Linked DNA regions of Arabidopsis thaliana. The protein of the gene in region 2 interacts with the protein of the main gene of each other region in a pairwise test. Each region holds a gene or a part of one and is shown on either strand. Other genes may lie near its edges.

Evidence for each region. Proteins that work in one complex are often made in the same cells at the same time.
Region 1: the proteins of TBL18 (region 2) and PPT2 interact in a protein complementation assay, tested with the Arabidopsis thaliana proteins (one large-scale study listed by BioGRID).

What each region holds. Positions count from the first base shown.
Region 1 is NC_003074.8:216,285-221,100, forward strand, and holds PPT2 (phosphoenolpyruvate (pep)/phosphate translocator 2), read right to left. Parts: upstream 2,853-4,816; 5' UTR 2,573-2,852; coding exon 2,276-2,572; intron 2,165-2,275; coding exon 2,042-2,164; intron 1,974-2,041; coding exon 1,821-1,973; intron 1,713-1,820; coding exon 1,627-1,712; intron 1,526-1,626; coding exon 1,444-1,525; intron 1,357-1,443; coding exon 1,237-1,356; intron 1,153-1,236; coding exon 1,075-1,152; intron 968-1,074; coding exon 838-967; intron 746-837; coding exon 663-745; 3' UTR 521-662; downstream 1-520. Other genes in the region: AT3G01560 (proline-rich receptor-like kinase, putative (DUF1421)), read left to right, coding at 3,600-3,908, 4,029-4,310, 4,479-4,816. UniProt on the Arabidopsis thaliana protein: Phosphoenolpyruvate/phosphate translocator that transports phosphoenolpyruvate (PEP), 2-phosphoglycerate and 3-phosphoglycerate.
Region 2 is NC_003075.7:12,967,513-12,973,144, reverse strand, and holds TBL18 (TRICHOME BIREFRINGENCE-LIKE 18), read right to left. Parts: upstream 3,587-5,632; 5' UTR 3,394-3,586; exon of another isoform or gene 3,157-3,393; 5' UTR 2,959-3,156; coding exon 2,439-2,958; intron 1,932-2,438; coding exon 1,657-1,931; intron 1,548-1,656; coding exon 741-1,547; 3' UTR 501-740; downstream 1-500. Other genes in the region: AT4G25370 (Double Clp-N motif protein), read right to left, coding at 42-77, 181-398. UniProt on the Arabidopsis thaliana protein: May act as a bridging protein that binds pectin and other cell wall polysaccharides. Probably involved in maintaining esterification of pectins. May be involved in the specific O-acetylation of cell wall polymers.

The sequences.
Region 1 (4,816 bases), on a different chromosome or scaffold from region 2:
GGATTCAAATCGAACAATAAAAAAAAAAACTAACACGTAATAAAAGGATTCGATCAGAAATCAGAATTAAACACGACCAAACCGACGCAATCTTAGAGAGAAACTAGAAATTGAAACAGAGAGCTTAAATACCAAATTCTAGGAATCTAAGTCAGGATTGAGGAATTTTGTCAACAGATAAACGCGTACCTGATTTGATATTCAAGAGTCGAGTTTGAATGTGGAAAACGAACCAGCAGATTGGATTAAAGACTCGGGTCAAATCTGTGAACTCGAGCTTTTGAGATTCCCTTTTTTGGTTTCCCTCTCTATAACAATCTACGCCACAAGAAGAAGCGTAGAAGCAAGAGAGAGAAAGTTAGACCAAAAGCAAGGATGTCCAACTTTAGACCGTCTCTGTTAGTTAGGTTTATAAAACCATCCATCGTCGCAACAAAAATATCTGCACCTTAATGAGCCGCCTCCTTCTTTTGGGCCCTTTTGGGCCACTCCAATTTTATTCCTAGGCCCATTATATAATTTCCATGTAAAGAATAGAATTATTTAATGAGATTAGTTGAATTTAACAAAAGTTAATAGTGTCATGTAAAAACGACATGGATGAACAAAAATATCAACATTTTTCGCATAAATAATAAACTAAGAGCTTCTATATACAAAATTCAAGACATTTTTGGATTTGGTTTGACTTGGACTCGTTTGGCTCTGCTGTACAAATATACTCCAGCTAGTGCAGTCGCGGTACCTGTTTATTTAACAAGTGATTATATATTGCTTCAATAAAATGAACAAGTGTAACAAATCCTTTACTAATATATACTACTAGTAGTTGTTTACCTATAGAGTTAAGAGGTGAGACTGGAGTTTTGAAGAAAAGAATGGATGATGTAATAACCACCACACGCTTCACGCAGTTCCCTACAGAGTGTGTTACTGGAGACACCATCTCCAATATCATATACGATACCTACAACAACAACCCCAATTTTTATGTGTTGATTAGAAGCCTAACACTAACCGACTTTACAAAATTCAGTACAGTTTTTCTGAAACGGAGGAACTAGACGGACCAACCTGTTGGTAGCTATGCAAGCAAACACCAGCAAGTAGAGACATGATGCAAAACTCTTTTACCGACAAACCCTGGCTTGTCTGTCAAGCAACCACATACAAACACACATTAGTTCTTTCTCTTTTAGATCATCTAGCTATATCGGTTTATGCTTTTCCACTTACTGCTACTTGTAAATGCGAAGGAGTAACCTTGAACCCATCGATGAGGATTGCTAAAGGAACCAGTAAGATAAAGGAGATAATGGTTATTATAGAGAAAAGGTTGATGTTGTCCAAAGCGTCCTGTTTCAATATACAAACATTAATAGATTTCGATTACTAGTTTCTTTCTTGAGATCATAAGGATAACTTATATTCAAACTCTTTTACCTTTCCAACCATGAATTTTTTACTGAGGACATTGCGTGATTGATTCGTCACATTAGAAGCCATTGCACTGCAGAAACCAATCCTGGTTTATCCCAATACCATGAATTAATCAAATCAATTAAAACTTCATCAAAAGTTTATCAAGAATACTATTTTTTTTGTTCTTGTTCTTGTTGTTCATACCAATTGAAAGAAGCTTCTGTGAAAGATGCTAAAGAGACTCCAGCGACAATAGGTAACAACGAACAAACAATCCACAGACTCGGCCACTGGACATTAATCAAAATTTCAAAGATTATGTCTGAAAATATAACTCTCTTGTATAATCTAAGGTTATAGATTAAGTCTGAAACAGAGCGTATCTTTGTTTTGCTTACCTCACCGAGCAAGAGAACAGAAAGCAAGACGGTGAAGAAAGGCTCCATTGCTTTGATAGTGTGGGTGAAAGAGACATTTACTCTTCCTAAGCTCACATTTGTTAACAAGTTCCCTAACGTGTGAGCTACTGCTAGTTGTACGATCACCGTAAACTGGAGAGGATTACAATTGAATGAATCTCTCTGTTTTTAGGGTTTGACGGAATCAATATTTGATTTACCTGAGAAGGAGAAAATTTGGGGCGTGGATGGAGTTTAAGGAGCCACATTATAGCAATCATCAACGTTCCACACCCTAATTGAAATGCTGTTACAGTCGCTGGATATGGATAAACCCTAAGTACCTGGATCGATGAATGAACAAGTTTCATACTTGTATGAAGACTGATAATAGGTTCGAGTACTGCTTCTTGCATTGAAATGGACTGTTTAATTAAATGAAGCAAAGAAGGAACCTGTTTGTTGAAAATGTTGTAGTAGATATTGAGAAGGTACCAAACTCCAAACATGCCTCCTAGCTTCAACCCTTTAACCAAACTTCCAGATTCCAAATCTCCTCCTTCCACATTCTCCGGAACTGTAGCTGACTTGAGCTTGAAGCCATTAAATCTAAGGTTCGGTCTCCAAGGATAAGAGTTAGAAGATGAAAAAGCTCTGCTTCTTCTGCTCAACGCTGATTCAGGAGTAGACTTGGCAAGGAACAATGGAGATGGAAGTCTTGGATTTGGATTTAGAAATGTGAGAGCGAACATAATTTTTTCCTCTTATCAGATGCTCCAAGATGTGCATAAATCCTCCGGCATTTGTTGGAATTTCTCACAAGTAACCGACTCTTGCTAACTTTTTCTTCTTCCTCTATTGGTAAGAGTTATGTTACATGAGTCTACCTCCTCATTTTCATGTAAGAAGAAAAAAGTTTGTTTTGTTTTTGGATATACTGCAAACTTGATATTAGTATTATTTAGAAGAGTTGTCTTTATTATGTGACTTTTCTCTCGTTCTACTATCTGAATGTTTTTGAGTATGATAAAAATAACTCACATGCCGATGCCGACATTTTTTTCAATATAACATTGGCTCGATTTTATTTATCTTTCCTCATAAGAGCCAGTGGTATTTGCCGGTATTGTTTCTTCTCATGTTCTCCATTCCATGTGTGTTCTGTAAATAATGTTATGGAAATGATTTGACATACTTGGTCACTCATTTCTTTACAAAGGGGCCGTGGTTTTCTTCGTTTATAATAATATCAAAAAGTTGGTAACGCTATAAATAATTATTTAAAATAAAGTTTACGTACGAACATGACAAATTACTGACCACAACACCAATTGATTTTTAGTGTGGAATTTGAAAATGTCAGGGGAGAATTGTATGGATGATATGAAAGGGGCCGCGTTGAAACATGTGGATGTTGTATTGTATGCTCCTGAGTCCACCCTTTTCTTTCCGTGTTATTTCATACTATTACAAATAAGGTTGGTCCCATTGCTTTGATCACATTATTGATTATACCATTTACTTATTATGTCAGTGTTGGTACAGGTCATTGATCACAATTTGGGCTTTAAACGGAGAGGATGGAAACTGAATTCTAAATACATTTCGGCCCATTTAGGGTCCATAACCTTCTACGCCAATCAGAAGGTACGTCGACATGAGCAACTTGGTCAATTTTATGACATAAATAAAATAAAAATAAAAAAATAAAAATCGATCTGAGGGGTTTTAGAAAGAAAAGAAGAAATTCGGGAGTCGGAGAAATTGTCGGGTGGATCGATGAATACTTGTCAGTTTATGGATAAGCAGATAATGGATCTATCTTCTTCTTCATCTCTACCTTCCACTGATTTCATCGATCTGATGAACAATCATGACGGCGATGATCACCAGAAGAAGCAGGTGATCGGCGATAATGGATTGGACTCTAAGAAAGAAGTGATCGTTCCTAGCTATGATTTCCATCCCATACGTCCCACCACCGCCGCACGATTGTCTCACTCGGCTTTAGATCTCGCCGGATCCACGACTAGGGTTAATTGGTCCGCCTCTGATTATAAACCCGTTTCCACTACTTCGCCTAACACTGTACTTACTACTACTTCTCGAATCTTCCTCTCTTTTTTTTTTTTGTACATGATTCTACATCATAAGCCTATAAGAGGACTTGTCTATTTCTGATTGATTTGTTTTTTTTTATTCGGCCAGAATTTTGGATCTCTCGATTCTATTGAACCTTCCAAGTTGGTTCCTGACAAGGGTCAAAATGTGTTTAACACGACTATTATGTCCGAGATTATAGATAGGACAATGAAGAAACATACCGATACCTTGCTTCATGTAATGGAAGGTGTTAGTGCACGTCTTTCACAGCTGGAGACCAGAACCCACAACCTCGAGAACCTGGTGGATGATCTCAAAGTTTCTGTTGACAATAGTCACGGCAGCACTGATGGGAAAATGAGACAGCTTAAAAATATCCTTGTAGAGGTAACTTTGCTGATTGCTTTTCGAAACTAGAATTTATAGCTTTTCCTGGCAACTATTGATCTTTTTTATACAGAAATTTTCTCATTTATGAACATGTCTTTTCTTGAACCAGGCTTATAGTACTTTCTGTTGATACTTCAGTTCCTTCTTTATGCGAATGGTGTGCAGGTGCAGAGTGGTGTGCAACTATTGAAGGACAAACAAGAGATTCTCGAAGCTCAGCTTTCAAAGCATCAGGTATCCAACCAGCATGCCAAAACACACTCTTTACACGTTGATCCCACTGCTCAATCGCCCGCTCCAGTCCCTATGCAGCAGTTTCCTCTTACTTCTTTCCCACAGCCACCATCTTCCACTGCTGCTCCTTCCCAGCCACCTTCCTCGCAACTACCACCTCAGCTACCTACGCAGTTTTCTTCTCAACAAGAGCCGTATTGTCCTCCGCCTAGTCATCCTCAACCACCTCCATCAAACCCGCCTCCTTACCAAGCTCCTCAGACCCAAAC
Region 2 (5,632 bases):
TACAATTACAAATTCTATACGTAATTTGGAGTGAGACTCACTTTGGGATCTTATCCGAAGAACCATTCTCCGGTTGCCTGAAAAATTCAACCTTAACACCCTAAGCTTCAATATCCGTGGTGAAAGGAAAAACCCAGAAATGATAAAGATGTAAAAGAGCTGTCAGATAAAAAAACTAACGCAATAGGGACGTTTAAGACCGTGCTGGCCGAGGTCAAGCACCGGAGCTTGGGGACGAAGCAGCGATGCGACGGTTGTGTCGCCAGAAGCTTCTTACCTAACAGAGAAGACGTTAGAGGAATCCGAGAAGAAGACGAGGGAGATCCATTCTGTCTCGAAACAAAGATCCGAGGATTAGAGAGCGTCAAAGGGATAAAGGAGACTGTGTACGACGCCATTTTCACTCTTGAGGAATCAAAAGCTTTTGGTCGGGCTTTGGGTGAGTCAGTGAGATAGGCGATTATTACTCAGCTATTTTGCAAATGCGCCCCCCCCAGTTTATATAATTTATGAAATTTCGACTAGTATGAATAAACTTGAACTCATAACTCCCAAATCTTAAATTTCAATCTCAGGACAAACGAACCAACAAGTATAGTGGAACAAATTCTAATCCTAACTCACCGTGCCTAGCACAAATCTACAAGTGAGTTTATCTTTGAGTTTATCAGTAACCAAGAATCAGATTAATAGTATAAGTCGTGTAATATGCTCTCTCATCCTTTGAGTTTCAAACCAAGTCAAGTTGATGAGCTTTTCCTGTCTCTCCTTATGAGCTCCAAGACCATTTCGTTCCATGTATCGACTGGTCCTGGCATGCACCAGTGCAAGCAGTCCTGAGGTGGAGGCCGTCCGTCTGGTCCCCGTTTAGTGATCTTGTTAGGGTCAGGACTTCTGAATGGACCAGGATGACCATCATGGCGATATCCAAATGCCTCTGTGATATCCATCAGCTTTAGTTTTAGCTTCAAATTCTCCGCGACTTTATCGACGGCTTGGTTATATCCTGTCGCTTGCTTCTCATGCATTATCTCTGTGAATCCGTTTTTCACTAGCTTCCCTGGAAGGATGGGTTCTTCTTTCCCCGTGCATGATCCACCTGTGTTCCAAGCACCACCTTCGTAATGATCAGGTGAGAATGTTCTCACAATGGTCAAACCGCTGTAGTTCGGGTGTGTAGCCATGGACTTAAGGATTGTTTCAACTGATATTCCAAATGCATCCACGTTATTGACTTTCATGGGTTTTGATTTGTCTGGCCACCATAATTGGCCTCCCACGATCTCTTCTTTCAATATGTAGACAGACTGCTTTGCAAACCAGTGCCCTGATGAGAGGACAACCACGTCGAATTTCGGGATAGCTTCCATTATGCGCTCATCAGGAAGATCCAGCTTTAGTTTTGTGACACCTTCAGGAGCATAATCGAATTTTTCGTTGAACTGATGAACAAGCCAAGATGACCAAATACGGGCAATCATTACTGATGATTGCTTAAAATACCATCTCTGCATCTTTCGGCTCCCACGATTGACTGGTGTTTCAACCTGAAAACAGAAACCTACTTTAATATAATACATACGATCTCCTGAAGCTGAATAAAGCAACACAATAGATCCCTTATACCGGTTTTCACCATTAAATTGAATTACTTGCCTGCCAAAGAAGGCACAACATGGACTCCATCTGATTACGAGCTACTGAATCTCCTATAAAGGCCAGTGTCTTGCCTTTCATAAGTTCAAGAAATTTTCTGGCATCAAACCGAGGAAGCTCACACTGAGACGGTTTCCATCTCCAGTTCTCATATCCCTTGTCAGGTCTTCCATTTCCCTGGCAATTCTGCATCTGCGTCAGGACAGGGCAAGAGTTGTTCGTGTAGAGAGGTCCCCCAGGATCATAAAACCAACTACCTTGATACAAATCACACTCTACAAGCAATCAAAGATTTGAGTAAGCGACAAACTCATAACAGAAATATAAAACATCGAACAGCTAGAATCATGAGAAGCAAGGGAAACTGACAAGAACAGATCTATGAAACTGCTCTTCTTATTCCAATTCACCAAAACAGGTAGAACTCTCAACCAAATGCCCACAAAGCCTAGAAACTCTAACCCCTAAAACAAAATGCTGAGACCACCTTACAAGCCCAGCACTCACTATCTGCTCCCTAACCAAGTTTTTACTCTAATCTGCTATATTCAGTCCTCGGCTAGAATAATTACAGTAGGTCTATAGCTAAGAGTTTAGCCGCTGAATTTCTTTAAAACTTCTCAGAAACTTACGCCTTTCCATAGAAATGCAAAACTAAATGTTCTATAACATTCCCACACTAGCTTAGTCTTTGTTTATTGAAATTTAAGCTACCATAACTCAAAATGTTCCAAATACGACAAAAGCTACGGAAATAAGCGTTTAAAAGATAACAACAGTACCTGGTTCTGCTGAAGCAGTTTCAGAGACATCATCTGGAGGAGATGATGCACTTGGAGTGTCTTCAGCCTTGGAAACATTGGTTTCACGTTCACCTGATTGAACATCAGTCTTTTCAGTTATATCCGAAGAAACCAAATCCTCTTTTTCTTGTGTCAAAGGTGTCTCCAACTTCCTATCACTACTGAAATCTGGAGGTGGTATACTTTTGCTAACAACAACAGGTAAGCCAGAGCTAGAATCAGAAGTCAGATTTTTATCAAACGCATTGATGTCACTACTCTTCTGAAGGATATTGACAGTATGGTTGCTCAAAGATAAAGGGACATGAACTTGTTCAGGATTCCCTATCCCATAAAATATGCCACCAACTGAAGAACTATTCGGATACGAAAGACGAAGCAACAATCCGAAAACAAAGAATGATGCCAAACCACCAATAGCAATTGCAACTGTAGACACTTTCCGAGGAAATCCAGCCGCAGCTAATATAGAATTATTCCTAGGAGAACCAAAAGCCATGGTTTCTTCACTAGTAGATACCCAGAACCAATACAAGCAACAAGAACCAGAGCTTATAGGTGATAATTCAATATCAACATTATTCAAAATGTTATCTTCAGGGGCATGCAATACGCAAGTGAACTAAGTGAATCTGTTACTTGATTCAATCTTCCACTGGATCACAGATAAGATTTCACCTTCTTCAGGATCTGGAATCTGGAAGAGCAACACTATGAGCAAACATACTTAAAGGCGAAAGAAGAAAACAAGATGATCGATCTAATAAATCATCAAATAGCACAAATCCAGAATATAAATGTGAATCTAACTCAGATTCAGCTCAAATCATTACGTATTCAGATTTTCAGAAAAAAAACAAACAATTTTTCAGAAGATTATCTTCTTCACTAAGCAGATCCAAACGAAGAAGAAGAAGAAAGAGAATCTACGAACCTAGAGAAAATGATCCTTGTTGTCTTCTTGTAGGTGAAGCGAGCTCAGAAGATTCAGAAGAAATCCACAACAGTGAAGACGCGAAATCAAAAAATTAAACAAAGGTTAGTTATAGTTTTATTAGTTAATTGTTTTCCGGAAATAATCAAACGAATTTAGTGGTAATTTATTCCTTAAATTAATCATTTGTTTCTTCTTCCGGAGCCCATTAATGCCGTCTGTGATCTCATCGGCGCGTATACGACCACGCGATGATGTAAAGTTACGAAACTACCCTTCGGTCAACACCACCATAACATTGCGTATATTTCGAATTTTGTAACATTGCTAATATTTCGAATTGTTTGTTTGTCACTTCGCGTTATATGACACAACGATTGTTGTTTTCACATAAAAAAAAAAACCCTACTAGTCATCATCTAATGTAACACTCCAGCATATGACAAAATCGCCGAAATATTATTTATTATTATATAGGTAAAATAGAATTACAATATGCTCTTCTATAGTATATAGTAATCTAAAAAGTTGCATCATAAAATAAATTATTAGAAAAAGATCGAAAATAGGTGATATATCATATCATCATTACAATAGGTGTGAGTCGTCCGTCGCCTCTGACTGGTCCTTCCTTTCGGGCACGATAGCAGGCATAAGCCACTATCAGTGCGATGATGATTAATACACCGACTGAAATTCCAGAAATTGCGATAAACTTCATTGGATCAGTCCCCATGTTTGTTTTACCACACGCACCCAGAAAAAAGTTTATTTCTACTGTTTTTATTTTTTGTCATGTCTTCTTGTGACACAGTATGTTTACATTTATTTACAATTATTTACATTTCTGTTAATAAAGTCCGTGAAATTTGTAAGTTTTACATTTTATTATTTAAGAAAATTAACAAGGATGAACTGGAAAATTACACTTTAAAGAATATTAATTAGGAAGAAATAGAAATTATACATTTTTATGGTACTTTGTTGATCTTCATACCATCAAACTGGAAATTGTACATTTTAATAGAAAATTAACTATGAAAGAATAGAAAATTTACATACGTGAGCATGTAGTAATTTAAGGCTATCACAAAAATTCGACATTTTATTTCAGAATATTCTAAAATTTTGATATTTAGGTAGCACATTATCAAATATTGTAAAATAAAATAATGGCCAGGCTTATACGATTTGAGATTTGATTCGTATCCATGAATGCCATACTCGATGAGTAGTTACTGTTGTGTGTGTATTATAGTTTTTGCTAGTTAATGTTGTTTTTACTCCTACCGCATAAAATGAAATAATGAATCATCTATATATACATTTTTGCAGCCATTTTGTGAAATAAATCTTAGAGTTGGGACTTATTTACTAGGCTGCCATTGAGTATTAATTATTGATTTTTTTCCAGCAATAAATTGATTAATAAACTAAAAATATTCCAAATATATTCAGCAACTATTTAAAACAAAAAATGTTTGACAAACAAAAATATAATTGCAATCCCTTAAAATGAGCAAAACCCACCTAAATATATTCTTTATCTATCCAATAAATCTTTTTTCTCCAAAATTTGAACTAGATTTTGGCAACTATTTTAAACAAATATTTGTTTGACAAACCAAAATACAATTGCAATCCCGTAAAATATTTCTTTTAATTATATATTTAAATTAGCGGTGTACCGCGGTTTTTTTTTACGGGGCGGATTTGGCGAGACGGGTTTGGTAAGACGTTATTTAATAACAATTGTAAACTATAAAATAAAAATAAATAGATTTAATTTGCAAACTTTTATATATACTAATTTAAAAAATAAGTTGTCCGCGGGTTAAAATCTAGTCATGGTTATTTTAATTAGGTGAAATCAGCCTTGGATAATTTTAAAAACTAAAACCAATTGTTTGTAAGTAAAGAATTAATAAATTAGTGTAATTTCTAAGTTTTCAAATTATTATATAAATAAAATAAATAAATATGTATTTATAAGCACAAAAAAAGGAAATGGTGCGTATTCCTGGTACAATAGTTACTTGTCAGATCCCCATTTAAAACATCTCAAATTGGTTGAAAAAAAGTCACCAAAGAAAAACTAGATTAGCATCAAATGTTTTTAAAACTTTTAATTCTTCCATAACTCTTTCTAAGAAATAATTTAAAGAGTTAAATCAAATAATTCAAAAGTCGGTTGCTATTTATTAGCGTTAAGTATACGTACTTGTTTTCTTATTTTTCT